Linked DNA regions of Arabidopsis thaliana. The protein of the gene in region 1 interacts with the protein of each later gene in a pairwise test. Each region holds a gene or a part of one and is shown on either strand. Other genes may lie near its edges.

The links.
Region 2: the proteins of KLCR2 (region 1) and AT4G30490 interact in a two-hybrid assay, tested with the Arabidopsis thaliana proteins (one large-scale study listed by BioGRID).
Region 3: the proteins of KLCR2 (region 1) and RBCS2B interact in a two-hybrid assay, tested with the Arabidopsis thaliana proteins (one large-scale study listed by BioGRID).
Region 4: the proteins of KLCR2 (region 1) and AT3G11590 interact in a two-hybrid assay, tested with the Arabidopsis thaliana proteins (one large-scale study listed by BioGRID).

The regions. Positions count from the first base shown.
Region 1 is NC_003074.8:10,378,489-10,386,656, forward strand, and holds KLCR2 (Tetratricopeptide repeat (TPR)-like superfamily protein), read right to left. Parts: upstream 4,762-8,168; 5' UTR 4,352-4,761; intron 4,171-4,351; exon of another isoform or gene 4,137-4,170; 5' UTR 4,106-4,136; coding exon 2,325-4,105; coding exon of another isoform or gene 2,321-2,324; exon of another isoform or gene 2,236-2,320; coding exon 2,025-2,235; 3' UTR 1,742-2,024; downstream 1-1,741. Other genes in the region: AT3G27950 (GDSL-like Lipase/Acylhydrolase superfamily protein), read left to right, coding at 104-304, 423-595, 663-927, 1,033-1,283.
Region 2 is NC_003075.7:14,896,693-14,904,743, reverse strand, and holds AT4G30490 (AFG1-like ATPase family protein), read left to right. Parts: upstream 1-2,599; 5' UTR 2,600-2,860; coding exon 2,861-3,110; intron 3,111-3,193; coding exon 3,194-3,273; intron 3,274-3,384; coding exon 3,385-3,485; intron 3,486-3,579; coding exon 3,580-3,702; intron 3,703-3,778; coding exon 3,779-3,848; intron 3,849-3,949; coding exon 3,950-4,036; intron 4,037-4,131; coding exon 4,132-4,197; intron 4,198-4,279; coding exon 4,280-4,372; intron 4,373-4,451; coding exon 4,452-4,508; intron 4,509-4,597; coding exon 4,598-4,729; intron 4,730-4,825; coding exon 4,826-4,916; intron 4,917-4,996; coding exon 4,997-5,085; intron 5,086-5,177; coding exon 5,178-5,371; intron 5,372-5,457; coding exon 5,458-5,518; 3' UTR 5,519-5,710; downstream 5,711-8,051. Other genes in the region: AT4G30500 (transmembrane protein (DUF788)), read right to left, coding at 1-72, 176-241, 348-432, 710-903, 1,103-1,186; TPR1 (Tetratricopeptide repeat (TPR)-like superfamily protein), read right to left, coding at 5,807-5,922, 6,051-6,164, 6,368-6,494, 6,587-6,769, 6,951-7,244.
Region 3 is NC_003076.8:15,378,527-15,384,721, forward strand, and holds RBCS2B (Ribulose bisphosphate carboxylase (small chain) family protein), read right to left. Parts: upstream 3,546-6,195; 5' UTR 3,453-3,545; coding exon 3,282-3,452; intron 3,192-3,281; coding exon 3,057-3,191; intron 2,917-3,056; coding exon 2,677-2,916; 3' UTR 2,381-2,676; downstream 1-2,380. Other genes in the region: RBCS1B (Ribulose bisphosphate carboxylase (small chain) family protein), read right to left, coding at 5,824-6,063. UniProt on the Arabidopsis thaliana protein: RuBisCO catalyzes two reactions: the carboxylation of D-ribulose 1,5-bisphosphate, the primary event in carbon dioxide fixation, as well as the oxidative fragmentation of the pentose substrate.
Region 4 is NC_003074.8:3,657,349-3,665,552, forward strand, and holds AT3G11590 (golgin family A protein), read left to right. Parts: upstream 1-2,949; 5' UTR 2,950-3,149; intron 3,150-3,248; 5' UTR 3,249-3,279; coding exon 3,280-3,762; intron 3,763-3,815; exon of another isoform or gene 3,816-4,437; coding exon 4,438-4,560; intron 4,561-4,926; coding exon 4,927-6,189; 3' UTR 6,190-6,386; downstream 6,387-8,204. Other genes in the region: AT3G11591 (bric-a-brac protein), read right to left, coding at 6,432-6,623.

The DNA.
Region 1 (8,168 bases):
TACTTAGAGTAGGGTTGGAGATGCCCTTAGTATATTTGAAACACACATTTGCTTCTAGTTATTGAATCGATTTTGACGATATATTTGTTATGATTTTGGGCAGCCGAAAATCTTACTTTGCCGTATTTAACACCATACTTGGATTCGGTTGGAGCTAATTACCGGCATGGTGCTAATTTTGCGACGGGCGGTTCTTGCATCCGCCCCACACTTGCTTGTTTTAGCCCATTCCATCTTGGGACTCAAGTGTCCCAATTCATTCACTTTAAGACTCGTACCTTGTCTCTCTACAACCAAACCAACGGTAAGTTCAACCGGTTAAGTCATACAAATTACCAAACCAGAATTTAAAACTAAAACTAAGTCTTCTACATGTTTTGTTTTAATGAAAACTTTGTTGATATTTGTTGTTTTGGCCTTAGGAAAAACTCCATTCTGCAAAGAAGTCTTTGCACGGCCCAAAGATTTCTCAAAAGCTCTTTATACATTGGATATCGGCCAAAACGATCTCGCGATTGGGTTCCAAAACATGACAGAGGAACAACTCAAAGCAACTATACCCTTAATCATTGAAAACTTCACCATTGCCTTAAAAGTAAGTATCTTAAAATTATCGGAGACTTTGGTATAAAACAATCTCTAACAATGATTTATTTTATTAGTTGTTATACAAAGAAGGAGCAAGATTCTTCTCAATTCATAACACCGGACCGACAGGCTGTTTACCGTATCTTCTGAAAGCTTTTCCCGCTATACCGCGAGATCCCTACGGTTGTTTGAAGCCTCTGAACAATGTGGCAATTGAGTTCAACAAACAACTCAAGAACAAAATCACTCAACTAAAGAAAGAGTTACCTTCTTCTTTCTTTACTTATGTTGATGTCTACTCGGCCAAATACAACTTGATCACCAAAGCAAAGGCTCTAGGTATGCACTAAACCAATTAAACGGTTTATATTTTTGGATTTTATTGGTTACGGTTAGACTTAAGACTTCTCATTCATTTCCGGTTTTATCAAATCTATAATGCAGGTTTTATTGATCCTTTTGACTATTGTTGCGTTGGGGCGATCGGACGTGGAATGGGATGTGGGAAGACAATATTTCTAAATGGGACAGAACTCTATAGTTCTTCCTGCCAAAACCGTAAAAATTTCATAAGTTGGGATGGCATACATTACACCGAAACCGCGAATATGCTAGTCGCAAACCGAATCCTCGATGGTTCGATATCGGATCCACCTCTCCCTACCCAAAAAGCATGTAAACTCACGAAAAAATAAGTTGCCATGATATAAACTAATAAATGTCTAGCATATTTCTGGTGCTTTCAAGTAACTAGCCAAAATTTCTATTCACATCTCTCTTTTTGTTTTTGAATCAATGTAAAATTTTCTTCAAAAAGTCATTGGTTACAATATATGCAGCTTTAAGCAGAATGTTTCTATTCACATCTTATCATATTAGTTATTATATAAAAGACTATATCAAATAATCAGTAACTTGTTTGGTAAGAAATTTTAAACCGCTTAGTTCAGATTATCTTTTGCTTAGTGACAACTTTTCTTTTGTTGCTTTGCTAAGTGACAACTTCTTGATTCGGTGGGTCGTCTCTTTATGTTCTCATGCTACATATGTATGTGTATATTCGGTTATTGTTTTTTGTTGACATTCATGAACATTACATGACAAGACCAGACAAGATGTTTTAGTAACCAAACACTTGTTGTTTACTCAAGATCAGTGCTCAAAGTTAGAGAAACTGCCATCAAGGAGATTTTTAAACTCCAAAATTTCAATGTAAATCACATTACAAAACGACCAAATCAATTGCGTTTTACTCTTTACATTTTATTTATAAAGAAAACAAATGCAAGATTTTTTTTTTTTTCCTTCACTTTTTATAAAACTAGAAAACATAAAGCCTCTTCATTTTTTTCCTTCTCCCTCGACCGTGTAAGTACCGTATTCGAACTTGTATTTTGTATATATATACATTTTAGACCGGACAATAATCCGGTTAATCAATAAACCGGTCTCTGTCCATTTGCAATTTCAGGGTTGTTGTCCAAAAGGGTAAGAAGTGCTCTGTTTCTTTTACTCCTTCCTCTTCCAGCTTCTTTCAACAACGCAGCAAGCCTCTGCTTCTCGTCCTCAACCTCGGGATTTGCCGTCCCGAGCTTCTCTTCTCTTGTCCCAACAACATACTCCAATATCTCTATAGCATCATCTAACCTGTAAAGCAAGTAACACATTGCTTGTACCGCAGGGAAATACCAAAAAACATAACCTAGCAAGAAAATTGTTTTAAGTTCCAAATTTACCTTCCCATTGCGTCGTACGTTCCAGCAAGGTTACTGTAAACCGCTAATGTATCGGGATGGTACGGTCCACACTCTTTCTCAAGAATAGTTTTCGCTTCTTCAAACAAATCTGCAGCTTCATTGATCGCGTAACGCTGAACGCAAGCTAGTCCCATCTGATTCAAAGCAATCCCGAAAAGAGCGGTTTTTTTCTCTCCGCTATTGCGGAACTTTGATATCGCGCTCTTGAATATGTCGTAGGACTCGGAGTAATTTCCCATCATATAAGTAACCACACCCATTTGAGCTTCAATACCTGCAATCGTGTTCTGTTGACCTGGAGCGTTTGCATATATCTTCAACGCCCGTCTCAACAACTTAAGAGCTTGATCAAGTTCATTCATTGACTGATATATCGCAGAAATCTCTATAAAACCAGTCGCAACCTCTTCCATAGGAGTTCCTGGAGTCGGTTTTAGGTAAATCTTGAGAGCGTTTTCGCAGTACGATTTGGAATCGCGTGTTTTCCCAATCTTGTTGTACAAGTCAGCAAGCCTAACGTAAACCAAAGCAACAGAGGAATGAGTCTCACCTTTTCCTTGCTTAAACACAGCTAAAGCCTTCTGGTATGCGAATATCGCTTCATCAAACCTAGCTAGCGACATGTAAGCATCACCAATACTGCAATCTACAGCAGCAACATCTTCTCTATGGTTCTGAGATGACATTGCCATGCTCGCTAAAACATAATGCTCAAGCGCAACTTCATAATCACCTTTCGCATCGCAGATAAGTCCCATCAGTTTTCTATCCGCAGCTTCTTCAATAGAAGCTGTAGCGGCAGCACCGTTTTCTTTGTGAATGTCCAATGCCATTTGACAAAGCCTTGAGGCTTCTTCAAACTGCATTGCTTGAACATGAGCTTCCGCTAAGTACCTACAAGTTTCGCCAACTCGTGCATCCGATTCTCCAAGAACTTGTCTTTGAATCTCCAAACCCGCGGTGTATAGCATAATCGAATTTTCAACTTGACCCATCAAACCATACATGTCACCAAGCTGCATACACCCTGCAAATTTCGCCAACGCGTGATCCTCACCATCTTCAATCATCGGTATCTCGATAGAACGTTCAAGAACAGGCACAGCGTCATTGTATCTCCCTAACCCTGCATATATCGCTGCCAAGATATGCAAAGACATCACCAAATTCAACCCAAGTTGTTTCTCTCCTTCCCCACATTTCTCAAACACTTTCACCGCTCTCAACGCTAAATCAAGAGCCTTGTTTAAATTCTCACCTGAAGAAACCAACTCTCTGGCTTGCTTCAACAACACCACACCAAGCTCAGGACTCTCCTCATCAACAGAAACCTTCCCCAAATCCGGTGATTTCCTCGAAGAGATCCTCGAACCCGGCATCTTCGGATTATTAGGACTCGTTTTCGCAACCTTCTTACCATTCGAAAGAGGTTTCTTCTGACTCAAGCTACCTTCTCCATTACTTTCTTCCTTCTTCTCCAAGATAATCTCTTTCTTGCTCTCTCCTTCTTCTCCTACATCTCCAACCAAATGCCTCAACTCCAAATCAATCCTAGATTCAGCTCCATACGAAATAAAACTCGCCCTGGACGGAGACTGATCATCAGAACTCTCCATTTCACAAACGTTATGATACAACTGCTCAATAGAAGCATTCATAGCTCCATCAATTGCAAGATCTATAGAACTCAGAGGACTCCTCGGTGAAGCTTGAAGGGCAGAATCGTCTTTTACCCTCTCATTGCTCTCTCCTACGTCCATGGCCTCCAAAACTCACAACTCAATTATAAATCTGAATCAATGGAGACCAAGATTTTAGATTCAAATCCGTTAAAACAACAAGATAACATCAAAAGACTCGAAATTGAGAACCATAAGTCCCTAACTAGAATTATCTAAAGCTGACATAGATTCAGTTACTAACAGAGAACAAAACCCAGAATCAAATTCAACGAAATTGAAAAGAAAAACGAAAACTTTGAAGATTTTAAGAGATAAAAATCGAACCTTTATGTGTCTTTGACTCTGAAGAAATCTGCAAGAAGGCAAAAAAAGAACAGATTCTGTTTTTTGGTAACTTAGTGTGGTTGTGTAAGAGATGAAAATGAAGGATTTGGTGTCTTGTACTTTTCACTTTTAGGTGTTTGTTTTATATCTTCACTTTCATAATCTCATAGCTAATGTTATGAGAAAGATGAAGCAACAACATTTATGCACAAACCCTTTCACTGTCCTTATATGTTTTGAAACAAAAGCAGACTTTTTTTTTTGGGTCTACATTGCTTACTTTAATTTACCTTTTAAATTGAATTATTGATTGATTATATTAAGATAATGAAGATGATAATTGACTCTTTTTGATGTGATTATATGATTATTTTTTCAAGAAAGAGATGCATAACCAGAAATTTTTTTGAAGATCATTAGGTTTGAAGATGATTGACTCTTGAAGCAATAAAAAGAAGATGACTTCTTCCCTACTTGCACTCTCTCTTTAAATAATTTATCTTTTTTCCTCAATTTTATAAATAAATTTATCTCTTTGAAAAATAATAATGAATGTCTCATCCATTTTTTTTATCATCTAAAATTTGATTAAAAATTTGCTGTGAAACCAAAGAAAATTACAAATTTTCAAAGAAGGAAAAGTAAAACCGACAGATAAAAAATAATTCCCCAAAAATTACAGCAGAAAAAAACGAGATTCTTTCTGGAAACTAAACACTATGAAATGAATGTTTCATCCATTTCAAGATTACCTTTTTTTTAATTAAAACTTTTAAAAAATATTGTTTCCTTCACATGCAATTTTTTCATGAATTTGTTTTTTTAAAGTTAAAGTTTGAGTTTTGCCCGTTAAGAATTAATTATTTTTCTTATTTATCCTAAAAGAAATATTGTTTCCTTGAAATGCAATTTTTTAGGGATTTAATGAGTTAAATTAGAACAAAAAAAAATTGAGTTTTGCAGGTTAATTAGCCAGCTAATTAAATGCTGGGGAAAGATCACAATTCACAAGTCTACGTCAAACCCTACAAATTCACAGCTGTATAATAAGTACCGTTGAGATTCCGCCACGTGTCATACTTAATCATCAATTATCTCTAATGATCATCCCATGATCTCTAATCTATATACGTAATATTAAAAACGTGAACAGTTAAAAATTTAGCCTTTTGATTGATATAATGATGCAGTGTTTTTTTTTTAGTATAGTCTTTAACTCTTTATGGAAAGAAAAATTGGACCACTGGATTTAAAGGATTGAATCACTAATTTAGTAAGAATTTTTCTTAATGACGAAATGATATGACACGTGGACTACAGCTGCATACCAGTTAGACAGCCTGGTTTTATGGTCCAGATGTGGTCCACCTTTAAGCCCATTACGGCTTTATGGGCCCTTATAGTCATCAGTGTAGGGCCTACCCAAAATGTAATTTTTATAGAACTCTCGTTCCCATATTTCATGAGTCAATTTTATTGTGAAAAAACGATAATGCGCTTAAGGCAATTTTTTCACTAGCCAACCAACAAAATATCGAAATGACTATTATTTTTATTTATTTTTTTTTTCTTGTCACAACGAAATGACTATTTATATATGTTTTTGTTAAGAGCCCATAACATTATATTATTTGGTTGGTCGGTCATATTATATATGCAAATTATGTATGACTTGGTTTCTTACAAGAGACAGAGACAACCCACACGTTTGTTCATAATTCTAAGACCTAACAACGTCTCTTCCTTCGGATTTTTATTTTTGTATATTGCATAAAGACAACTCTGTAACCACAAATACTTTATTATTTCCTATTCACAAAGTTATAAGCAATTCTTTTTTATCGTCAGTTCATAAGCAATTCATTGGATTAATTTATGAACTGAAAACAAATTGTAATCATTGACGACTGTTGGGCGGTGCTGTTTTCTTTAACTCTTTCGCCGCTCGAATCCCATATCAAATCTTATCTGTTCACAAATTATTTGGTTTTCTAAATTCCTACGCGTTTTATATTACCAACACGTTTTTGTTTTCTTCGAAAATTTTAGGTCAGAACGTATATAATTTTGACAAATTTGTCAAATACTATCTCTGACAAAAGTTTGATAAATTTTGACAAATTTGCCACAACATCAGTCATTGAATTGTACAATAACTGTCTAACAAATAAAAATTTTCTACTTAGCGTAAAATACATTCGTTCGTGAATCGTGATGAAACAAGAATACTTGCGAAACAAGCAAAGTAAACCTAATCAAATGCATGATTTAAGCATATACCGCAGGATTCGTTTCAGAATACCAAAATCTGCAACTATTGGAGCATGCATTCGTTGACAAACAAAATTGACTACATACTGGATATACGGCCGAGTGATGGTGAGTTATTGCAATTTTCCAGCTAGGCTTCGAAAATAAGTTGCATCCGAGGATAATTCAAAGTTGAGGTTGTCGATTTTATGTGGTAAAAGAGTCGGCATCAGATTACATTCAGACATAGCAGCCTATTGTAGAATGTCAGATGCATAAGCTGTTTGGTGAAGAAAAAGACCGTGTGAATCAGTTTTGATTTCATCACCAACAAAGTCATCTACATAGAGTAGAAGCACAAGTTTTTTCCCATTTTTGTGATATGTGAAGAGAGAAGGATCAAATTTGCTGCAAGTAAACCCAAAATCTAGGAGATAATTACCGAAGGTGTTGAACCAAGCTCGTGGTGCCTGCTTGTAGGAACCGGTTCTCATGATTCAACCACCGAGTTTTGTTGAATCATGAAAACCGGTTCCTATTATTTTACTCAATACAAAAAATGATTGGATTGGATGACACTCATCGATTATTTCAGCTTTTAAAAGTAAGAAAACATAACCAAAACATATTATAATTAAGCATAATATTTGACCATTTCTTTTCGATTGTTAAAAAATGACTTTTACAAACAAAATATAAGTAGACGATTTTTAATAATTACATACAAGTGCATCAACTATTTTTACGAACAAATTAAGATTCCTTTAAATTACGTTCTTAACTTCAATCAATGGAGTGTTTCAAACCTCTTCCGTCGATTTGACAAAACATTCGTTAGATTTGTTTCGATTTGTTATTAAATTCAATTCGATTTGAAAATTTTAGATATCCATAAATTAACGAAGCAAAACTTAAAAGAGATATTCGTCAAAAACAGAGAAAATCAAAAATACTATAATTTAAATAGGTGAATATCTGCTCTTCTTCAAAATTAATTGCATACATAAATTCTAATTTTATTATTCTTATATGTGTTTTATAATCTTGTAATCATCGAACTAACTGTTTGAATTACAACATTGATAAAATATTACTATTTTTGACAAATATAATTTACTATTTTTTGATAAAAAATTACTATTATTAGATTAATTTTTATATTGTTTTATTTTATAGAAAAATATTTGACAGACTAGATATCCAACAAATAGTTTGGATTTTAATGGATATAAGAAGAGGATATTCGGACACTAACAAAACAAAAAAAATTGAATAGCTAAGTATTCAGATAAAGCAAATCAGATTTCAAATACCACCTAATTTTCTGATATCCGCTTTATGCCCAACACTAATCTGATGACTTCTGTCTTCAAAACGTTTCTACCAAACATCAGATAGAGCCTAATACTGGTTTTGGCTAAGAACCAAAATTGAATTATCACTAGTATCACATAAACATACTATTCATCCAGTCATGTAGCATCTATTGATTGGAGCAGCGAATAGTCCTCACGAGACACACCTTGATAATGGTGCAACTGTAATGTCTGGAAGCTCAGATATCGTC
Region 2 (8,051 bases), on another chromosome or scaffold:
GACTTGTCCTCTAGAAGCTTTTCTCTCCATCTTCTCCCTCTTTTTGCGAGTCTTCTCATCCTCAACACCTCCCTAAGTTCAGTCATATAGACAAAACACAGTCCATTTTAAATGATCATGTTTTATTTCCCCCTTGTTCAAAGCACTTTGAGAGTATTCAAGACAAAGTGATTACCTCTGAACCATGTGACAATAGTCCCTTAATAAGACCAGAAGCTTTGTATGCTCCAAATGCAGGGATCTAAAATAAAAACAAGCAAAAGTAAATGGTTGCATCATTCCTACAGAGCAAATCTGTTGTTTGCCTTAAAATATGGCAATAAAGAAAATTGAGATGGGTATCATACCACTAAATACGCGTACCAAAACTTTCCAGAGATGATAGATCCGACCTGCACAAAGCAGGTGATGTAGAGTACATCATGCAAATATCTGCAAGGAAGAATAGAGCATCAGGCTTATACTATAGAATCTACCATAAATCCAATCCACCATAAAGATGACGATTATGTAGCAACTGATAAACGATAAAACTCGGAGAAAGCCACAACTAGTAAAACATCACTCATTTCAAACAACTGATAATGAAACAGTCCTCCTACTATTGCTTTTGGTTATGGAAACAGAATCCAACTATACAGAAACACTTGAGACAAAAGCAGGCACTTTCTAGTTGATCAATTTAAAAGACAAATCTTTCCGAACGTACCCACACATTCCAGGAGTGCTCATGTCAAATCCACCATCAAGAAGTTCACCAGCATCACTAACACTAGGCTTTGCCATTTGATGAAGAAGCTTATATGGAATCCCGTAACCTAACGATGTTAACACAAGACCAATCCAATTTTTCCAGGTATGACTTGAATGCGAAATTATAACCCTCACTAGGACATACAAAATCTGCAAACACATATTGCCAAAAACATCAATCCTCGAATTCATCGAAACAAAATCAGCTAAACATTGAAACTTTCGAGACCTAAAGATCAAATTCAACGGATTTTTAGTTCCATATTGATACAAGTAACGTATCTAAACAAATCTAAGCTCAACGGATTAATGTATTGAGAATTTAAGAAATGAGGAACGAGGAAGTTACGTTGCAAAGGATCATAATGAGACGGAGCTTAGCCATGTGTCGAGCGTTCTCATCTTTCCTCTTCTTTGCTCCTTGATTCGCCATGAGTTAAAAGAGAATGATCAAAGAGACGAGGAAGATAGTTTTTTCAGTTTCTGTAATTCTTCTTTTGCTTTGGATCTTCACAAATGGTGTGAGAGAAAACTTTTAGGTGTCTAAGCTTGTTTAATCCAATTATATATTGACACCTGTACCTTTTTGTCGTCCTCTTTTCTCAAATACTTTTTTCACGCAGGAAATGTTTTGTTTGGCTGCGTGTCGTAATTACGCTTTTCCTTGGGTTTAGGACAAAGATTCTTAATTTGGGCTTTCGTCTATCCTTATCAGTTGTTGTTGGAAAACTGAAACAGTTCTATCTAAATGGGCCAGAACAACCTAAAAGGCCCATAAAATCTGACATCTTAAGGCCTATCAACAGAAAACTGCATTATTTCAGTTTTCCAATAACAAGGTCTGTGTGAAAATCACCGGCGCTCGGAGAAGACATCAACATAAAACCTTTTACCGCTGTTCCAAAAACTAAAAAGTATACCATTTCTATGATCAATCGGTAAAACGATATTTATAACGGAACAAGAACAAAAGTAGTGTAAATTTTTTTCCCTGTTTTATGTTGTTCTATAGACAAAAAAAAATGAAGATATCATATCTTGTGGGCCTATATCCAATATTTGAGTGTAGCCCATATTTGGATCAAACATCACGTCTTACACAATGGTTCTCGGATATCCCAATCTGAGTATGGTTTTAGGTCAATTCAACATAGTATTATTTTGTCAACAAGCACCATTATAGCAAAAACAAAGATGTATCAAAGAAAAGTAGCGTTAGGGGTTGGTCAGAAAAAGACATGTTTGCAGTGTAAGAAATGACGTGGACACGTGGAATCATACGCAATGCAACATGTCATCATTAAGGTCCATTGTTCAACTTACCCATTGAGAACAAAACTAGAAAAATTATAGACCGTTGGATCATCTTTAAGGACCATGTCTGATTCACGTATCTCTCTCCCACTTGGAATATGCTTAGCCTATGTATGGGACACATTCGCTAGGTCCACCAGTATCCTGTACGCAAACGCAACATCGAGAAGCTTCCGTTTCCAATATTCTATACTATAATTACAAATGTTAAAAATTGTTTATAAAATTTGTAATTTGACTTGTAGACATCATTAGGGTAAAGATATATCAAGAAATTACTTTTTTCATAGGAATAAAAATAGTCAACTCTCTTAAATAAGGGACAAATACAATCCTCTAATGACCTGGAAAACAACTATGCAATCAACATTAACAAATGTAATTAGAAGTACAACACAATCAATTTTGGTTAAAAAATTGAAAGTATATAAAAATAAAAAAATAAAAAACGTGTCTTAGTTGATAAATAACTCATTAATCACGCCTCTATCTCTCTGTTTTAAGAGTTTAACAGTTAAAGATCTTCTTCTCTATCTTCCTTATTTGACTACATCTCCGTTTATTCTTGGGTCTCTCTCTATCTCTCTTATCCAGATTTATCATCGTCATTACATATAAACATCAAACTTAACTTTTCAATATTCTCATTCACTTTTTCCTCTTGTGCTCTAATTCTTATCCGGATCCGATTTCTCTCATACAAAGATTCTGTTTTTCTTCTTGGGTTATTGTTCTTGCTCTGTTTCCGTATCTCAAAGTTTCAGCTGCTGAATTGAATTTGCATTGATCGTAGATGAGACCAATCATTAGGTTATCATCTCTCAGTAGAATTAGATGGGCTCTAAGGAACAATCAAGAACGTTATTCTTCAACTTTCTACTCCAAAAGCCGCAAACTTTTGATCGGTGTCAATCAAAATCAAGCTCTGCTGAATACAAACACTGATAATTCAAGTTTGTATTCAAGGTCAAGTATCTTTAGAGGCTTATCAGCAGAAGCAGTAGAAGCAGCTGATCCTGCTACTACTAGGGTCACCGTCTCAGGTTTTGTTTCTCTTTGCAAAGAAATTCTATCAATCTCAGAGTTCGTGTTTATTGGTTTGCTGATATTTGTTGAATGATGACAGATGTGAATAGAACAGGTCCTCTTGTTGAGTATGAGAGAAGAATCAGTAATGGTGAACTCATGACTGGTGATATCTGCCAAGTATGATAAAAATAATAGCCACTCTTTTTTACTTCATTGAAGCTTTTGAGCTATAAGATTAAATGTGATTCGTGTTACTTGCGGCTTAAGGTTGTGTTTGAAATGTTGTAGATTAGTGCATTGAGAGAGCTTCAGAGACTATATGATGAGCTTGTGGATTCAGTAGATACATGTCGTTTAGATCGGTATAATACTTCTGATAAATCCTCAAGGTGATTGTTCTGTTCTCTTAGCCTTGACACCTTTCCTTCTCTGTTTAGGATTGAGAACTTGAGTCTCACACAACTGTGTTTTTGTGTAATACAGAAGTCGTTGGTTTTGGTCTCGGCTCATGCCACAGACTTCTTACTCACCCGTCAAAGGATTATACCTTTATGGAGGTGTAGGTACAGGAAAAACCATGTTGATGGACTTATTCTTTGATCAACTGTAAGTTTGTATGATCAAATTCTTATCCTTTTTTTTCGAGCATTGCGGTTTCATGACAATTCTCTTGTTTCATTAGGCCTTGTACTTGGAAGAAGCAGAGGATACATTTCCATGATTTCATGTTGAGTGTTCATAGCCGCTTGCAAGTATGGATAATTGAGTTTCCATTGTTTCTCTATTGATTTTAGTAGGAAAAGCTTTAGCCTTTTGAGATACGTTGTTTGATTTCGGTTCATAATGTTTGCAGAAGCACAAGGGTTTATCAGATCCACTTGAAGTTGTTGCCCAAGAGATAGCTCATGATGCAATCTTACTATGTCTAGATGAGTTCATGGTATGTACACTATTTCATATATTTATTTTCTTGAAAGTGATCATCTTTGGATCAACACATCTTGATTTTTTCGGCTACTGTTTCTGTTATTATAGGTAACTGATGTTGCAGATGCTCTAATACTAAACCGACTCTTTGGACATCTGTTTAGCAATGGTGTTGTAAGTGTCATCTTTACTTACATTATGCTGCTACAATCATCTTAAAACTGACTTTTGTCCATGCTTGCTATATAAAATATAGATTCTTGTTGCTACATCGAATCGGAATCCTGATAAACTCTATGAAGGAGGACTCCAAAGAGATCTGTTCCTACCTTTCATTTCTTCATTGAAGGTAGTCTAATCTACTATCATTAGTCCACTTTCAGTACCTTTTTAATTCAAAGACTGCATCAAGATTTCCATTTTCGCAGGAACGAAGTGTGGTTCATGAGATCGGTTCAGCGGTTGATTACCGGAAACTAACTTCGGTATTGCTCTTAATCCCATTAAAAACTCCCTAGACTGGCTTCAAGGTAGAGCTGAGTTCAATAACTGGGACACTTCTTCATTTTTGCAGGCTGAGCAAGGATTCTACTTCATTGGTAAAGATCTTTCGACCCTTTTGAAACAGAAGTTCCGACAATTGATTGGAGACAATGTTGTTGCCCGTCCACAGGTAGTAGAAGTGGTGATGGGAAGAAAATTACAGGTACAGTTTATTATACCAATCTCTGTGTAACTCCAACAACACTTGTGTTGTCTGTATATAAGTTCTTCATCAGACCAAATGCTGCTTCATGAACAGATTCCATTAGGTGCCAATGGATGTGCATACTTTCCTTTTGAAGAGCTATGTGACCGACCTCTTGGAGCTGCGGATTACTTCGGTTTGTTCAGTAAGATACTTTACTTTGTCTCTCTCTCATCTGCAAATCTTGTCTCTAAACAGTGCTTCTTCTTCTTCTTGATGTTGCAGAGAAGTTTCATACTCTTGCCTTGGACGAAATTCCAGTGTTTGGGCTTCATAACCGTACTGCTGCATATAGATTCGTCACGCTAGTCGATGTATGCAATTCCTGGTTCTTGTTTTGTTCTTATAAGATGGCACTACCAAACCATTTCATCAAAATCTGATAATGATGGTTTAAGAATTGCAGGTAATGTATGAGAACAGAGCGAGGTTGTTGTGTACAGCTGAAGCAAATCCTCAAGAACTTTTGGAAAAGATTATAACAATCTCAGAGGCGAAATCGATGGGTCCAAGAACATCATCAAGATCAAGAAAGAACGATGTTACTGAGCTCTGCGTGGATAACGAATTAGGTTTCGCAAAAGACAGAACCATCAGTAGGTAATGTAATAACAGACTCTGTGATTAACAACTAAAATCTATTAGTTTCATTGGTTACTCATCAAGCGGTTATGTTTATTGTGTAGATTAACAGAAATGAACAGCAAAGAATACTTGGAGCACCATGCCATAACACACAATCTGTAACACTCATACTAGACCCTTGATGATTCTTCATGGGATTCTTCAATTAAATCCTATAATAGCTTATTGTATTTTCTGTATCACACCAACAGATTGATCCGAACCATGAAAAGGAAATTGTTTTTCCATTGTTGTAACATTGAATTTTCGATTTACTGCTATATTAAATCTAATGAAATTGCATCTTTTCATGTATGCATCAAGAACAATAACACATTGCAATATTAACCAGATTGTTGCTAAACATTTAAGTGGTAGAAGCAATACATCAAGAGCAACTACGATATTAAACTAGTTTTGGAAAGAAAGAGAGTAGGAGCCAGTGTTGGGATCTTTAACCGCCTTAAAGTTGTCCACACTCATTCCAAATCGACCCAAAATCGAGTTTCCCATCTCCTTCAGCTTAGCTACAAACACAAATATATTCAGTATAAATGACTGTTAATGAATCGATGCATATATATGACCACGCTCTTGATGCATGCTGATTGCAAAAGATAATAAAAGTTCGTGATGGAATACTCTCAGAACTTACTTATAGCTTCTTCTTTCATCTTTTCTCGCTTCTCAGCAGCAAGAGGTTCAAGACGTCGAATCCCTTTCCTAGCTTGATCATTTGAAGGATCAAGTTCTAAGATCTTCTTCAGGTCTGCATATGAGAAGACAGAGGCTCAGTATGGCTCTTCCACTAAACCTGATCTACAACCAAAAGCTATCTATCATGTAACAAGTACCAGAAACTAACCACCTAAAACTCCTAGCTTATTTTTCTAATAAACTGGTTTCATGAGTAAACCTCAAAGGGAAAGACTTTTGCTTGCATACAAGGTAAATAAATACTCATGAACTCACCCGTGACAGCATCTTCGAAGTGTTCAAGTTTCTCGTGTGCTTCAGCCCTTCGAACCAAGGCCTTATTGTAGGTAGGATTTAGCTCTAAGGCTTTTGTGCATTCCTTGATTGTTTCTTCACATTTACCCTGACAAACATTTCACAGAAAATCTTGAGCACTATACTCATCTTCTATCGGAATTCAAATAGACCAAGAAGTAATCAAAATAAAGGACATACCAATTTGAGGAAACATACACCTCTGTTTAAATAGCATATGGATCGAAGCTCTATAGACTCAGGTAACTCCTGAACAAGCTCTAAAGCAAAAGCATACTTTGACAATGCTTCTTCATAAAGGCCATTAACGAACAGTTTATTTCCTTCCGCTTTAGCCTCATTTGCTTCTGCCAAAGCTTTCTCCTTCCAAACAAAAAAGACAAATTTCAATAACTATCAACACTAGCTTTAAAGCATTCTCTACTAATCTCATCCAAAGGTTCAACCTTTAACAGCAAAATTGAAACTTTGTCAATAGGTACAGTTGTAATGAGAACTAGCTAATAAACCCATAAACCATAAACTAATTTGAATGTGGATTCACCTTGTTTGATCCGTCGTCGACTATGGCTTCTCCTTCACTCATTAGCTCAATCTGCTCTTCCTTCTTCTCCGAGTGCTGTGGTTCCTCCTGACTCGTGACGGCGTCATTTTTGGTACCATCTTCCTCTCCTTCTTCATCGCTAATTTCACGTTCGCTGGCAGTTTCGAACCCATCGGAATCATCTCCGTCGACTTGTTTCGTCTCCGTGGGTTGCGGTGAGGATGAAGACGCTGGCTTTGGTTCGTTTTTGATGAGGATCTCGTCTTCACTCTCACTTGATTCGATCAGTACCATCTTCAATCTAAGGTTCTTCGAGAGTTTGCTTGCACAAAGATAGATTTCAGCGCGAGACTTATTCGATCGTCGATCTAGCTTTCCTCACAAATCAAATCAGAATCCAGAGCACTCGATAGAGAAGAAGAAGGGTCAAGATGCCTTGTTTAAACGACGACGTTATACTTTAGCTGGTTAAACGGGTTTTACTAACGACGTTAGGCAATCTCAGGCCTGGTATTGGCCCATTAAGTATATCATATGGTTTTGTGAATAAGATCTTTGTTCGCAAAAGTACTGTTCTTATAATTTGGTGTTTTTAGTATAAATCCAATTCACATTATTCTCAGGTAAGAACATATCATTTAAAAAAAAAATCATAACACGTTGATGATTCCGTAGCAAAATCATGAATTCTGTCACAAAATTGTGCATGATTTCATAGTAAAACAAGTTAGTATCGTCACAAAATTCTATATTCAACGATATGATCTTAACTCGTAATCTAGGGAAACATATTATGTGAAGTACTTTATCATTTGCATATAAGAAAAGCTTATGGCTTGCTAAGAAAATCATCTTTGTTTTCAACCATAATTTGAAAATATTATAATTTCTACATATAAAATCAAAACAAAAAAAACTCTTTATCAAATTTTTTAGTATAATAGTATGTGTTCATATACCAATACAAGCACAATCTTTCACGTAATGCATTCATATTATTATTGCACAATTATAGGAAACATCGCTTTAAAAGGTTCGTATACGACAACTCTCCCACCAAGATTTAATATGTTTAACAAAAATTAGAAAACATTCATATTG
Region 3 (6,195 bases), on another chromosome or scaffold:
GAAAACTCCATTATCTTATCTTTTCTCTTGTGGGGGAAATGAAGTGAATGTGCGGTTACTGGTCTCCACTTGATCGGTTGCTTTTGGCTCCTTTCGTTTGGGAGAAAAGAAACCAGACGCATTACCTTAAATTTAATGCTTTTGGTCTTTTGGACCTCTTATTTACCATGTATGATTTAATTTGGCTTAACACTTTCTTTGGAAATAAGGTCGCATTAAAAAATAGTTATAACAAAATTATTTAAATTTGATATTTACATAAATATATTGTATGATATTTATCCGGACAAAAAAAAAAGCTTTAACCATCTCCAATATTTGTTTCTATTATTTTCTTTCTGAATATAGAGGAAAAAATATAATAGAGATTTATATTTTAACTTCAATGGTTCCTCAAAAATTCGTTAGAAAAAATAAATAAGAGAAAAAATAAAAATCTCTATTTTTTGCTTTAGAAAAAAAATTAGAAATTTCTATTTTACAAATGAAAATAGAGATGAGTTAGAGTTAAATAAATACAAAAATAGAGTATATAAATAAAAATAGAGATAGATTCGAGATGCTCTTAAAAATATTCATTACTCTTTCCGTTTTATTAATATCAATTGTTAAGATTTTTCAGGCAGACTTATAAATAAGATTCCATTTCAGACTAATGGAAGTAAACCTATCAAAAGAATTCTAACGTGCTGTAGAGAGACTCCTTCGTCATCGTCCCTTTTGTGAAAGAGTAAATTAAAGAATCCATAATGAGCATAGTGTAAGAAGAACCATTTATCTATTAGATATATTCTAGTACTGGTAGACTGTCGATTCTGGATACATCCTGAAAATCATTTACCACAATAAATTGTCGATAATCTTTTTGTTGGAAAAGTTATATATTATCTTCAAATGATAATATATTAGTCGACAAAAGAAAAGCGAGACAAAATTTGAATACATTGATTTCGGTTAATTCAATACTTTCACTTCATTTTTAGCAAATAGTACTTTTATTTCTGATTTTTATGTGGCTAGGATAAAAGCAAAACCTTACTGGTTGGAGAGAGTAAATATTTGAGTCGATACTAACAACAACTACATCATGCAAGATATGTTTGTGGGACAAAGAGACCGAGCGAACAAACGAAACGGCAAAACCATCATCTACATGTATCAAGTGCGCGGTAAACCCCTCATGGAAGAATTTCCAAGAAAACCTCCCAAAGTCCATGGTATCTTCTATATGAGGTAATGCACGCTGCCTCTAGATCAACAAGTAATATCAGCTCACGATTATCTTGCGACTCTGATCACATCACAATAACAATGGGGAACCCACATACGCAACCGTTCTCCTTGGAGTACCATGCCATTGCACTTACGGCCCCCTCAAGCACAAATATGGCACCTCAAGCTGATTTCCACCATGCAAACTTGAGTATGTAATCAAAGGTGTAGAACGGAGTCAAGAACTCATCTTAAAGTCACATAAAACTATGGTCATGCACTCATGGATCACGACTACTACCTTCAGGCTCACAAATTAATGCCCCCTTTTCAATCATATATATGAGAAGAAACGTGTACAAAGTACACATTAACTGGTCACGAAAAAACTTTCGTGTAGGGAAAAGGATCACAAGGTCCACTCCACTCCGCACCTCAGCTAAATAAATCATTTTTCGAAAGTGAGATAGTCTTAACTCTTAAGTCTTAACCCATCCATCTAAGTTACTAGTTTCTGTCTTTTATAAGTCATTTTGTTTCTTTTTCTTGGATTTTAATTGAAGCCAAAATGTGTGAATTAAATCCGGGAGATGGAAAAAATGTTCGATAATTTGAATTATTATTTTTATATGTATTTTGTATTTGAATCATGAATTTTTTATATTTCGTTTGCATAGAAGAATCCAAAAACATATGATTTTTTGTCAAAACAAAAACTTAAAACCAAACATATAGTAGATGCGACGTTTTCATTATCATTTGGAATCTAGTTTTATTTAGAACTTTTTGGGAACGTTAACTACTTTTCCTTCTAAATAACTGTTTCAGCTTTTAATGCATAACCAATGATCAAATTTAACGTAAACAAAATTTCCAAAATTTAGTAACTTCATGCTTGACAAATTTCAGTCTTTGTCGATCCTTGCTTTATGTAATGCTATTTCTTGACTTAATATCCCACTTAGGGGTTTGGAATACATGTTTTATGTTTATAATTTTAAAAGATGCATTTGAATTTTCTGTATATACTACCTTTTCCAAATCTCCAATGGCTATGTCATCTGAAAAATGGTTACACTCCCTTACATAAACTTTTCTCTAAATATCGAGGTTTGATTGATTGCTTTCATGTGCAAAATTTCTTAAAACAATGTAGCAAGTTTTTCTTTTTTTATTAGAGTTTATTGGTTAGTCTAGGGAGTCAAAAGCAAGAATTATGAGGATAATTTAAAGGAGCCACAATGTTGTTTAAAGGAGCTAAACGAAAAATAAGATTTCAAAGATTTAAGGGCAAAAATGAAATGAAATGATAACTATAATTATAGAGAAACTGATAGGAATAACATTTTCACTTTCAAACAATAGTTCCTCAACTGTTAAGTCGGCAAATAATTTCTTAAATTTGCATTGACCACATAGAAATGGGTTCCAGAATAATCAACGCTGAATATTCCAGAAAGGGGATTAAGCTTCGGTGAAGCTTGGGGGCTTGTAGGCAATGAAACTGATGCATTGGACTTGACGGGTGTTGTCGAATCCGATGATCCTAATGAAGGCGCCAGGGTACTCCTTCTTGCATTCTTCAACTTCCTTCAACACTTGAGCGGAGTCGGTGCATCCGAACAATGGAAGCTTCCACATTGTCCAGTATCGTCCATCATAGTATCCGGGAGTGTTTCCGTGCTCACGGTACACAAATCCGTGCTATATATAAAGAAAACCATTCAATACAATTGATATATATATTGGTGATAGTCTATTTCGGTTATCCACTTAAGTTTCTAGCAATGAAGAAGAAGAATAAAGGATGCTTAGAGACAAAGGAAAAGTTCAGTGTATATTACCTCCAACTCGAATTCAACACAAGGAATCCACTTGTTGCGGAGAAGGTAGTCAACTTCCTTAGCCAATTCAACGTCACTAAGGTCAGGGAGGTAAGATAGAGTCTCAAACTTCTTCTTTCCGATTGGTGGCCACACCTATAAATTCGAATTCCCAATTATTCTAAAGTATTGTTCAGTTGCACTAATTGCACATGACAAAAGACAGTTTTCATTAATGACATTTACCTTCATGCAGCTAACTCTTCCTCCGTTGCTTGTGATGGAAGTAATGTCGTTGTTGGCCTTGCGGGTGACCGGGAAAGAAGCGGATGACTTCAAGCCGGTGAATGGAGCGACCATGGTGGCTTGAGCCGGGGAGGTAACCACAGCGGTGGAGGAGAACATAGAGGAAGCCATTACTTCTTCTTGTTGTTTCTCTTCTTCTTTTGGTTTTTCTCTTACTTACTTGTTTGTCTGTTGGTTTTGTCATCTTTATATAGTGGGAACCGCTAGAGGCAACTAGCCCTAATGATCAAAGGGGCCATAATTCATGATAACGTCGTTAATTGCCACAGGATTAAGGAAAGGTGTTGACACCCTTATCGATTTGGACCACTAGGATAAGATCACGTGGCAGAAAACTCCATAATCTTATCTTTCTCATGTAAGGGTAGGAGTGAATGTGTATGGCTACTGGTCTCCACTTGATCGGTTGCTTTTGGCTCCTTTCAATTGGGAGGCGTCAAATTGTAGATATCGGTTAAATACTTTTTACATATAGATTAAAAAAATGATTAAATTTCTATTACCTTATATTAACACATTCATATTTTTATTTTTCCACTTGATAATCTTAAATAATAAGAATATAAGTATAATCTTTGAATTCATCCCACATTTTAAAAGTATAATTAAATCAGACAGAGTTCATTCAAAATGGTTTTTAATTGGGAAATGTAAACTAGTATTTTGTGTTATTATTTTCTATGTAGTATGTACGATCACTAGAACTTTTAGTCACATAATGGATATTAAATTAGAAAACAATCCAAATGCTTGTGAATTTTCAGGTTTTACGGCTAATTAATATATTTCTGATGAACAAGAGGAACCCACGGCACCGTTCCTTTTGGAGCACAACGCAATTGCACTTACGGCCCACTTAAGCACGAATGTGGCACCTCAAGATAATTCCCACCATGACAACTTAAGCACAAAAGCCATGACGGATCATGGGGAAATTTTATAACACACTTCAATGGATGGTGTGGATCCGAGGGAAGAATCCACACTCTAAGGCCACATGAAGAAGCTCATATGGTCATGGGTCCACGAATACCACGTAAAAGCTCATATATGCCCCGGTCCAACCATATGAGAAGAAGTAGCCAAACCCATTCAAGAAACATTGATTACTTTTCATTGTAAATAAGTGTTTTAGCTTTGAATGTATCGTAAACTATCTAATTTAATGTAAAACAGTTTCCAAATTATAAATATTCATGCTTTGTTATCTCCATTATAAATTTCATTAATTCTTGCGTGTCCTTGCTTGCTATGATGTCATCTCTAAATTTTTGGACTTGCGGCTCTAGAATTCATGTTTATGGATTTAAAATATACAGTTGGATTTTTCTATGTCATTTTAAAAAAGAAAATTTTTAGATTAGATTTTAAAAAGAGAAATAAACGTGTTTACAACTTAATGCATACTTTTTTGAAAAACAAATCTAAAACAGAGGATTTGGTCTTAAGCTTGTCTTGTACCAAACCAAACTTGAAGACCTCCTTCATACTTCAAAGCTCCCCCCACTCCGTATTGTGCTCAGCCGGTTCCAAACATTTTTGTCAATTAACTTGACAAGTTTCTCCATTGGTGATGGTTGTTCACCATGCTTTCAAGCATTTCTTTCTCCCCAAATCGAATGAACCGTGTTTTGGAAGACATACCGTAGAATGAAGATTTTTGTTTTGTCATAGTTTTTGTCACAAATGGTTTTAAAGACTTCCCTCCAATATGTCGAGTACTTATCAAGTAGTATTCCCCTTATCAGCTTCTCCCATACCTTCTGCGAGTAAGAGCACCCAAAAAAAAGATGGTGTCTTGTTTCCATAGGTTCGTGACAGAACATGCAGTTTGTGTTCACTTGTTGATTCCATTTAAACATTCTGTCTCCCGTGGCAACTCTGTTTTTTGAAGCTAGCCAACTGAGAAAGGAGTAGTTAGGGTAAAGTAAAAGAAACAGATCCCTTTGTATCCGTCCATCGTAGGCTTAGTGTTGCGAATTTTTGAGCATGTATCTCTTGTGACAAACTTTTGACGGTAGTGATCATTTTTTCCTTTCCAAAGGGCTATGTAACTTTCATCTTCTCTGAGACGACATCTCTATTTTCTACGTATTTTTACTACCTTTACTGGCTGTTTTTCATCTTTAAATTAAAATGTTCTAAATCAACCCTCAAAATTTGATTGATGGACGCATCTTTGCTATGCTTTCAAGTGCGAAATGTACCTAAAAAGGGTACTCTTTCATTAGAGAACCAAAGGCAAGAATTAGGAGAGAAATTTAAAGGAACTAAAATGTTAGTTAAAAGAGATAAAACGAATAAAAAGAGTTAAAAGTGATAAGAGCAGAAATGAAGTGATATGAATAGAGATTTTTATAGAGGAAACGATAGAAAAACAAACCTTCAGTTTTTTCACTTTGGCAAAATAATTACTTAAATTTACATTGACCATACAAAATTGGGTTCCGGATAGTCAACATTGAATATTCCAGAAAAGGATTTAAGCATCAGTGAAGCTTGGGGGCTTGTAGGCAATGAAACTGATGCATTGGACTTGACGGGTGTTGTCGAATCCGATGATCCTAATGAAGGCGCCCGGGTACTCCTTCTTGCATTCTTCAACTTCCTTCAACACTTGAGCGGAGTCGGTGCATCCGAACAATGGAAGCTTCCACATTGTCCAGTACCGTCCATCGTAGTATCCGGGAGTGTTTCCGTGCTCACGGTACACAAATCCGTGCTATAAACACATAAGAAAACCATTCAATACAATTGATATTGGAGGATATGCACAAGGTGATATAGTCTATTTCGGTTCTAAAAAATCCGGTTATAGGCTAATATTTCTAGCAATGAAAACGAAAAAAATAAT
Region 4 (8,204 bases), 6.7 Mb from region 1:
TCTGAGCTCTCTACATTGCATCAAAATTTCGATTATTTGAGAGTCCCCATTTCAAAGTTAACCACCTTTTGCTTCTTTTATTACAATATAATGTTAAATCAGTAGTTTACGAACGCCTATGAAAATGATCAATTGTAGTCTTCAACATTACCAATCAAGATGACAATATAAATACACGGTGTGAAATACTGTAAATAAAAACATAAGAGAAATCATATACGACTAATTAAAAAAAAAATATATATGATTCGATGCCTTCGCTTATAATTTTTATAGAAAACAAAAAATTATTGTATTTTCTAATTTTTTTTTTTAACTTTATTTTCTTTACGAATGAAAGATGTGTTTTAATAAAGAACTTACATTATGGGGATAAATAATAATAGAAAAATAAAAATAATGAAAGCCTATATATATGTATCCCTCTAATGATGTGTATAATTAGGATTAGACATCTCATAACTCTCAACAAGTTGACTTGTTGACTTAGCTCTTCGTCAATGAGAGCGAACATGTTTGTTGGAACACATCATTAGTGGACAAATGAATGCAGATTAAAAGAAAAATTATAATCAAATTTTCTAGAAAAACATATGACAGATACTTTGAGAGATAATAGAGTTTTTGTTTGATTGAATATAACATATTGTGGTTTGTTTTCACGTGGTTTAGAAAAGAAACAAGAGTGGGCTTTTAAATTGGGCCCACAGAGTGGCAGAAGCAGGGCTGAGAGAGTAATGGGTCCTACAAAACGCCCATGATCCCAAAATTTCCAAAGAAAATGGAGACAATCTTCTGTGTTTATCCGAAAGCTACCCTCACGCTTTGGATTTTCTTCTTCTTTTTTTTTTCTCTCTCTTTTCTTTTTTAATACTACTTATTTTTCTATAAATTTGTATATCTAGCTATAAAGGTAATAGAAAATGGTAAGTTATTTTTTCCTTCCGGTACAAAAGATGAAAACATGCAATAGTCGGCAAAGGTCCACACTCCACACATTTGTCTGCACATCTATCCAATATTCATTCATAGGTTCAACCACAACTTTATCTACTACATATATATTTTTTATTTTATTGAACGAATTTATATTCGTTTTCCATTTCTGTCATATATCATAGTAGATGTTGATAGTTGGGTAATGGAGCAAGTGAAAGATTGATGGTTGGTAGACCATAGATTCATGCATTCATACCATAAGGTATACTGATGGTGATTGGGTAAATTTTTGAGTCAGCTATTACAATTGAAAAGTTCATCAAATGACAAAACTATTACAACTTAGATCTTTGACAGCCAAAAGAAAAAAAAAAAAAAAAGAGAAAAAAAAAACTAAATTGTTGTTAGAAATTAGAAGTCAGAAGTAAGAAGACTCCCATAGGAATACAGTTCTGGCAACCAATTTCTTAGTTCTTTATTGGGCATTCATATCTTAGTTGGGCCTGACTCATATATATTTTGAACTTTTTGTACGCAATTGTATCTAACACTATAGTCTTACATTGTTCATATATTTAATGTTTTATATTGATTGCTACCTATATATTTTGATATGATGTAGATCCAACTATTTCTAGGTTGAATTGTCTTTTCGAACAGATTTTGTTTCCGGATTCACCATAAAAAAAAAAAAAAACTTATGTGACAGAAAGTACTATAGAAAGAATCGTGTTTACAACAATAAAGAGACTTGACCCAAACAAAAAACGTTTACAACAATAAAGAGTTGAACAATAATACGGTACGATTGTGTATGTTGAATCATCTCCTCCACTTGGACGTGTCCATTTGACAACGGAAAAAAGTGTGGCCGTGTTATCTTTCTTTGTAACGTTTACAGTTTCAATTGTTTAGTTTGATCAAATAATTAACTTGTGAATTTTATGGATGCAATATCTTGAAAACTAGGAAATCATATCTGATCATCCTGCTATAAAAAAAATAATACATGCATTTTAATATTCATGGTTTCACATGAATACTTCGGTCATCCATTTTTCAATTACACGAGTGTAAATCTGTAATATCAATATTCATTTATAATTATAACGGGTTGTGATTTGTGAAATTGTGGGTATAGATAAAACTTCAAAACCTATTGAAATGAATATCTATATACTTGGAATAGTAGTAGACACATTTTGTAATGAGTAACTTAAGCACACCGGTTCTCACTCACACTCGTCTAATGGAGAAAAATGGTATATTATATACCTCATATAGGAACATGATCATATGATTTAGGAGTCATAAGCATGAGATTAACAAGATATTTTGGTCCACATTAGGAATCTACTAAAGGAACTATTTTCTTATAACCTAAAAATCTTGGTTTGGTAAAAAGAACAACCTTAGATTATTTGGTCTTTTATCGATTCATGTAATTGTGTATCAAATGATTAAAATCTAATGCATCCTACTCAAACACGTCATTTAAGAAACCCTATATAGTACAAACACGATCCAATCTCCAAATTAACCCATAGTATATCATAGACGAGCATAATATTTTTGGTCAAATATAAAATTAGATGCACTAGTTCCCTTTATTTAGGCAGATGGACTTTCTTCTAATCGAAAATAATTGTTCTCAATGAGCCGTCAAACTTTGTGAAATATGGATATAAATTCATGACATCTACATAATTTTTGGTTTAACATGTGAAATTGAACTTAGGATCTATTTCATTCGAATTCTTACCATATACTAACCAAATATAAATAATGTTTACTGCTAAATACTATTTATATAAGTTTGTTCTTCACTAAAGAAATTTGTTGATTAGTTTGTTTTTCTAATTGAGAATCTCTTATTTCAGGACCGATAAAAAGGAAGTGATTTCCGGTTTTCGATTCAATTATTTCGGTTTAAGTCGGTTTACAAATCATCCACCCTGTAAATCACGGAGCAACATCCATAATCCATACAGATCAAACCACGTGGACATGTTACAGTGTTCCTTATCACAGAAGATGAGTACTCCTGTCATCTTTCCCCTTTTCACTTTAACATAACACTCTGTACACTAGTCTGATCAAAAAACCTCAAAACACAGCAACCGCCATTTCTTTCCAAATTCCCCCAATTCCCATTCCAACTTTATCTTCTGAAGTAGAAGAAGAAGCCATAGAAATGCTTTGAAGTTTCTGTAAGTGTTCTTACTCACTCTAAAAACTTCAATTTTGGTCTTTGTGCTTTTTTCTAACAGATCGGTGAAATTTTCTGAATCTGCTTTTTGTTTTTCCAGGTAAAGAGAAAGATCTACAATTGTTTTGAATATGCCGAGGCAGAATCAAAGCGTAGAGAATCTACTTCTACTTGGCAAAATCAGGAAACGTGGTTGTTCTTCGCCGACATCGTCGACTTCTTCGATTCTCCGTGAAGGTTATAGATTCAAAAGAGCGATAGTTGTTGGTAAAAGAGGAGGATCCACTACTCCTGTACCTACATGGAGACTTATGGGTCGATCTCCTTCTCCACGAGCTTCCGGTGCTTTACACGCTGCTGCTTCTCCGTCGTCTCACTGCGGGAGCAAAACCGGTAAAGTATCAGCTCCTGCTCCTGTTTCAGCTAGGAAGTTAGCTGCGACGCTTTGGGAGATGAACGAGATGCCTTCACCTAGAGTTGTGGAGGAGGCTGCGCCAATGATTAGAAAGAGTAGAAAGGAGAGAATCGCGCCGCTTCCTCCGCCGAGATCATCGGTTCATTCTGGTTCTCTACCGCCTCATCTTTCTGATCCGTCGCATAGTCCAGTCTCTGAGGTAAAATGCTTTGGTTATGATTGGTTGAGAGGAAGAGAATGTGCTGTAATTCCAACTTCTTGCTGGCTGCCATGTGCTTTAATTCTGACCGATCAAAAGAGAGAGAGAAAAACAATAATATATATAGTATAGTATTGATTGATTCGGGGAAGTTATAAAGATCTCATCTTTAACTGATAAAATTGATAATCTTTGTGTGATTCTAAGGTCTGAATTTAGTCAAAGTTGTGATTTTTTTGGCAACCTCTATGAGTATTTTAATCATCAAGGGAGATTATTATTCGTATAAGCTTCTGGTTGATGTTAAGGAGTGGGATTAGAGAAGAATAGAAAACTGTTTTGATCTTAAGAATCTTTTGTCATGTGCTCTATAACGCACATTTATGTTTATATGAAAGGGCGTTTCTTTATAAGTTGGTGCCTATTATTCTTGCATAATTGGGCACTTCTACTAGTTTTTATTCTTTCTCATTCGTTGGTCATATGGAGGTAGCTGGTTGTTTTTTAGAGGTTGATTTATTGTGAATAATGTAGGCCTAGATTCTCTTATAATGGAGACCTAAGAAAAATTATATATAATGCTAAATCTGGCAATGGACAATGCGAAGAATTCTGCTTTCTTTACTTCTGTGTGTTAGGTAATTGGATAGCTGAGAAACTTGTTGATTTTTGTAGAGGATGGAAAGATCAGGGACTGGGAGTCGCCAGAGAAGAGCTTCATCAACTGTGCAAAAGCTTAGGCTTGGAGACTGCAATGTGGGGGCTAGGGATCCTATTAACAGTGGCAGCTTCATGGATGTAAGTTGATTTTTTTATTTTTTTTTCACTCTTGGGGATGTTTCTTTGAGCATTATGAGGAACCCTTTCTTCTAGCAGTTTTCATAATTTTCTCAAACCAAATTTGGTATTTGATTAAGGATGAAAGTAGTATATTATTGAGCATTATTGGCTCCAGAGGCTGTTGGTTTTTTTACTTTGGAAGCATACGTACACATAATCTATGGTTTGTTTTGTTATGCACAGAAACATTGCAAATAACGGTATAAGAAACTAGGAGACACTCAATCCGTTATGATTAGTTAATTTGCCTCCATCATCTATAAATCAATATGTGTGCAAGAGAGTGATGTTCAAAAATATTTGAAATGTGTTTTTCCAATGCAGATTGAGACTCGATCACGGGTGGAGACACCGACTGGGTCAACTGTGGGTGTCAAAACACGGTTGAAGGATTGTAGTAACGCTCTCACAACATCAAAAGAGCTTCTCAAAATCATTAACAGAATGTGGGGTCAAGACGACCGCCCATCTTCTAGCATGTCCCTCGTCTCTGCTTTACATTCTGAGCTCGAAAGAGCTCGCTTACAGGTCAATCAGTTAATCCACGAACATAAACCGGAAAACAACGACATTAGCTACTTGATGAAGCGTTTTGCCGAAGAGAAAGCTGTGTGGAAAAGCAACGAGCAAGAAGTTGTTGAGGCTGCAATCGAATCTGTTGCTGGTGAGCTAGAAGTGGAGAGGAAGCTGAGGAGACGGTTTGAGAGCTTGAACAAGAAATTGGGCAAAGAATTGGCTGAAACAAAATCAGCTCTGATGAAAGCAGTTAAAGAAATCGAGAACGAGAAGCGAGCGAGAGTGATGGTTGAGAAAGTTTGTGATGAACTAGCAAGAGACATAAGCGAAGACAAAGCCGAAGTTGAAGAACTGAAGAGAGAATCTTTTAAAGTCAAAGAAGAAGTCGAAAAGGAAAGAGAGATGTTGCAGTTAGCAGATGCATTGCGGGAAGAGAGAGTACAGATGAAACTATCGGAGGCTAAACACCAGCTCGAGGAGAAAAACGCAGCTGTTGATAAGCTAAGAAACCAGCTTCAAACTTACCTCAAAGCAAAAAGATGTAAAGAGAAGACCCGTGAACCACCTCAAACTCAGCTACATAACGAAGAGGCTGGAGATTATTTAAACCATCACATCAGTTTTGGATCATATAACATCGAAGATGGAGAAGTCGAGAATGGAAATGAAGAAGGTTCAGGCGAAAGCGACCTTCATTCCATAGAACTGAACATAGACAACAAGAGCTATAAATGGCCTTATGGTGAAGAGAACAGAGGAAGAAAATCAACGCCAAGGAAAAGCCTTTCTTTACAAAGAAGCATATCGGATTGTGTTGATTGGGTTGTACAGAGCGAGAAGCTTCAAAAAAGTGGAGATGGAGGGTTGGATTGGGGAAGATCTATTGACGTTGAGCCTAAAGGGTATATAGATGAAACACAAGCTTATAAACCAAACAAGGCTTCTTCAAAAGATCACCATATCCTCTCGGGTTCGAGACTAAGTAACTTCCGCGGTGGATCTGTTTCAAAGTCGCGGTTATCGGATGCTTCGAAAGGCGAGAACCAGAATGCCAGAAAATCAAGATGGTAATATGATCAAGAAATTTTATTCACATTTTCAGCGCAGAGATAACAGAATCTAAAGACTTTACATCTACATTTTTTCTCTGTTCGCTCGTTTTGTCAAGAGTGATTCTCTCATCTGTAAGTGACATAAAACATGAATTTGAACTGGTAATGATCCAAACATGTAAGAGCATGAATTTACACGAAATCGTCTTTTGATTTATATCATTTAAGAGTTAGAACGCCTACAAGATCGAAAAAAAGACACTAATCGTCGAGCCATTTCCTGATTCGATCCTTGACGAAATCATTACGAGCTTTGACGCGAGCTTGTTGCGGTGAGATGTTGGCGAGTGAGAGATACGCTCCGGCGACGAAGAGAGAAACGCCCGCCGCGAAAAAACCCACCGACACTACTAACTGCCGCCGTGTCGGCGGATACGACATAAAAAACACCATCTTATCGTTTACCGCCGTCTGTTGCAAAAGCTGTTTAATACTAACTGTTAATGGGCCGGGGTTTTTTATTTTATTTTGGGCTTTATTTTTAATCTCCAATTTCTCAACAAATTAAAAAAAAAGAGTATTAAAAAAAAGGAATGAAGATTAAACCGAGAAGGCGAGAACTTTTTTTTTTTTTGTTATTGGTTATTTAATATTATAAACAATGGTTTAATGGATTATTTTCGAATTTAGATCCATACAAAATTTGAAAAGAGCCCAATCAACTATACCAAACCGAACCAAGCTCTTAAATCAAAATCGACCCGAGCTAATAAACTGACTAAACCGATCTACTATGAAGCCCTAATCTTCAATCGGAAAATCCAAAAAAGCCGCCGGCCAACAGATCTGCGAATATTCTTCGGAATAGGACTTCCGACGAGTCTGGACAATGCGAGCCGAACGGAGATGGTAACACAGATTTCGTCGCCATCCCACGACTGTAGAGCAATATATGATTGATTGTTGATTTTTATGGTCTGTGTGTGGGTTTGTTGATCTAAATCTTATTGTATTGTAAGATCAAAAGCCAAGAAACGAAAGATCCGGAGTAAGCTCAACATCATAGCAAAAATGTTGCTCGTGAGGAGGACTAAGATTTGGCTTTGAGCTTTGATTCTACGACGTTTTACTCGCTATGAATCTAAACATTTTGTAAGTAAAGCGTGAAGCTTATGTCGAAATCATATTATAGCTACTAAAATAAGTAGAATGTCTAATCTCTTAGATCAACAATATAATATTAATAGGCTACATCTTTATAAAAATTAAGGCTAGTATTTACTTAAAATTAGTGTTTAAGGATATTTTTTTTAAAAAAAAAATCATAACATTAACATTTATGAAAATTATTTTTGATTTTCATGATATTAACTCACAAAATCTCATTTTCAATGAGAATATTTGAAAAATGGTAAAAAAAACTCTTGTCTTTAAAAGAAAAATATGTATTCAAGGCAACAATTTAAATTTTTGCCTTAAACCGCTTTTGACCTTCGCACATTATGTTTCATAGATAAAAAGAGTTATGGAAAAAACTTTAGATCTTAACCTAAAATGCATGAATTATAGTTAAGGTTGGTTCGATATTGATAACATTATGATATTGCACATATATTAATGTGATTCATGTGCCTGAAAGATCTGAAGGTCTTGTCAAACGAAGTAAATTTAATTTTTGTTTTAAGAGATCTGAGATCAAAAAAATTACTGAGTAGCTATATCAATTAAAATCTATTGTTAGTTTTCAGAAATAGAGACCGAAAAAGAACTACTGTTCTAAATTAATAGTGTTAGACATTGGACATAAAATGTACAATCTTGCATAAAACTGGTTTGATTTGATTTTTTAATGTCGTAGTTGTTATAATATTACATTAGTATATGTATAAAGCAAAATCTTCAGTCCTCTAATCTTCCCTCTAGTTTTCATTTTCTGTTCTTAGAAGCATTTTCCTTCACTATAACATTAAAGTTTTTCCTAATCTTGCTTCTCTTAGCATTTGTAATAGTGGTTTTTACAAAACGATAGGATTA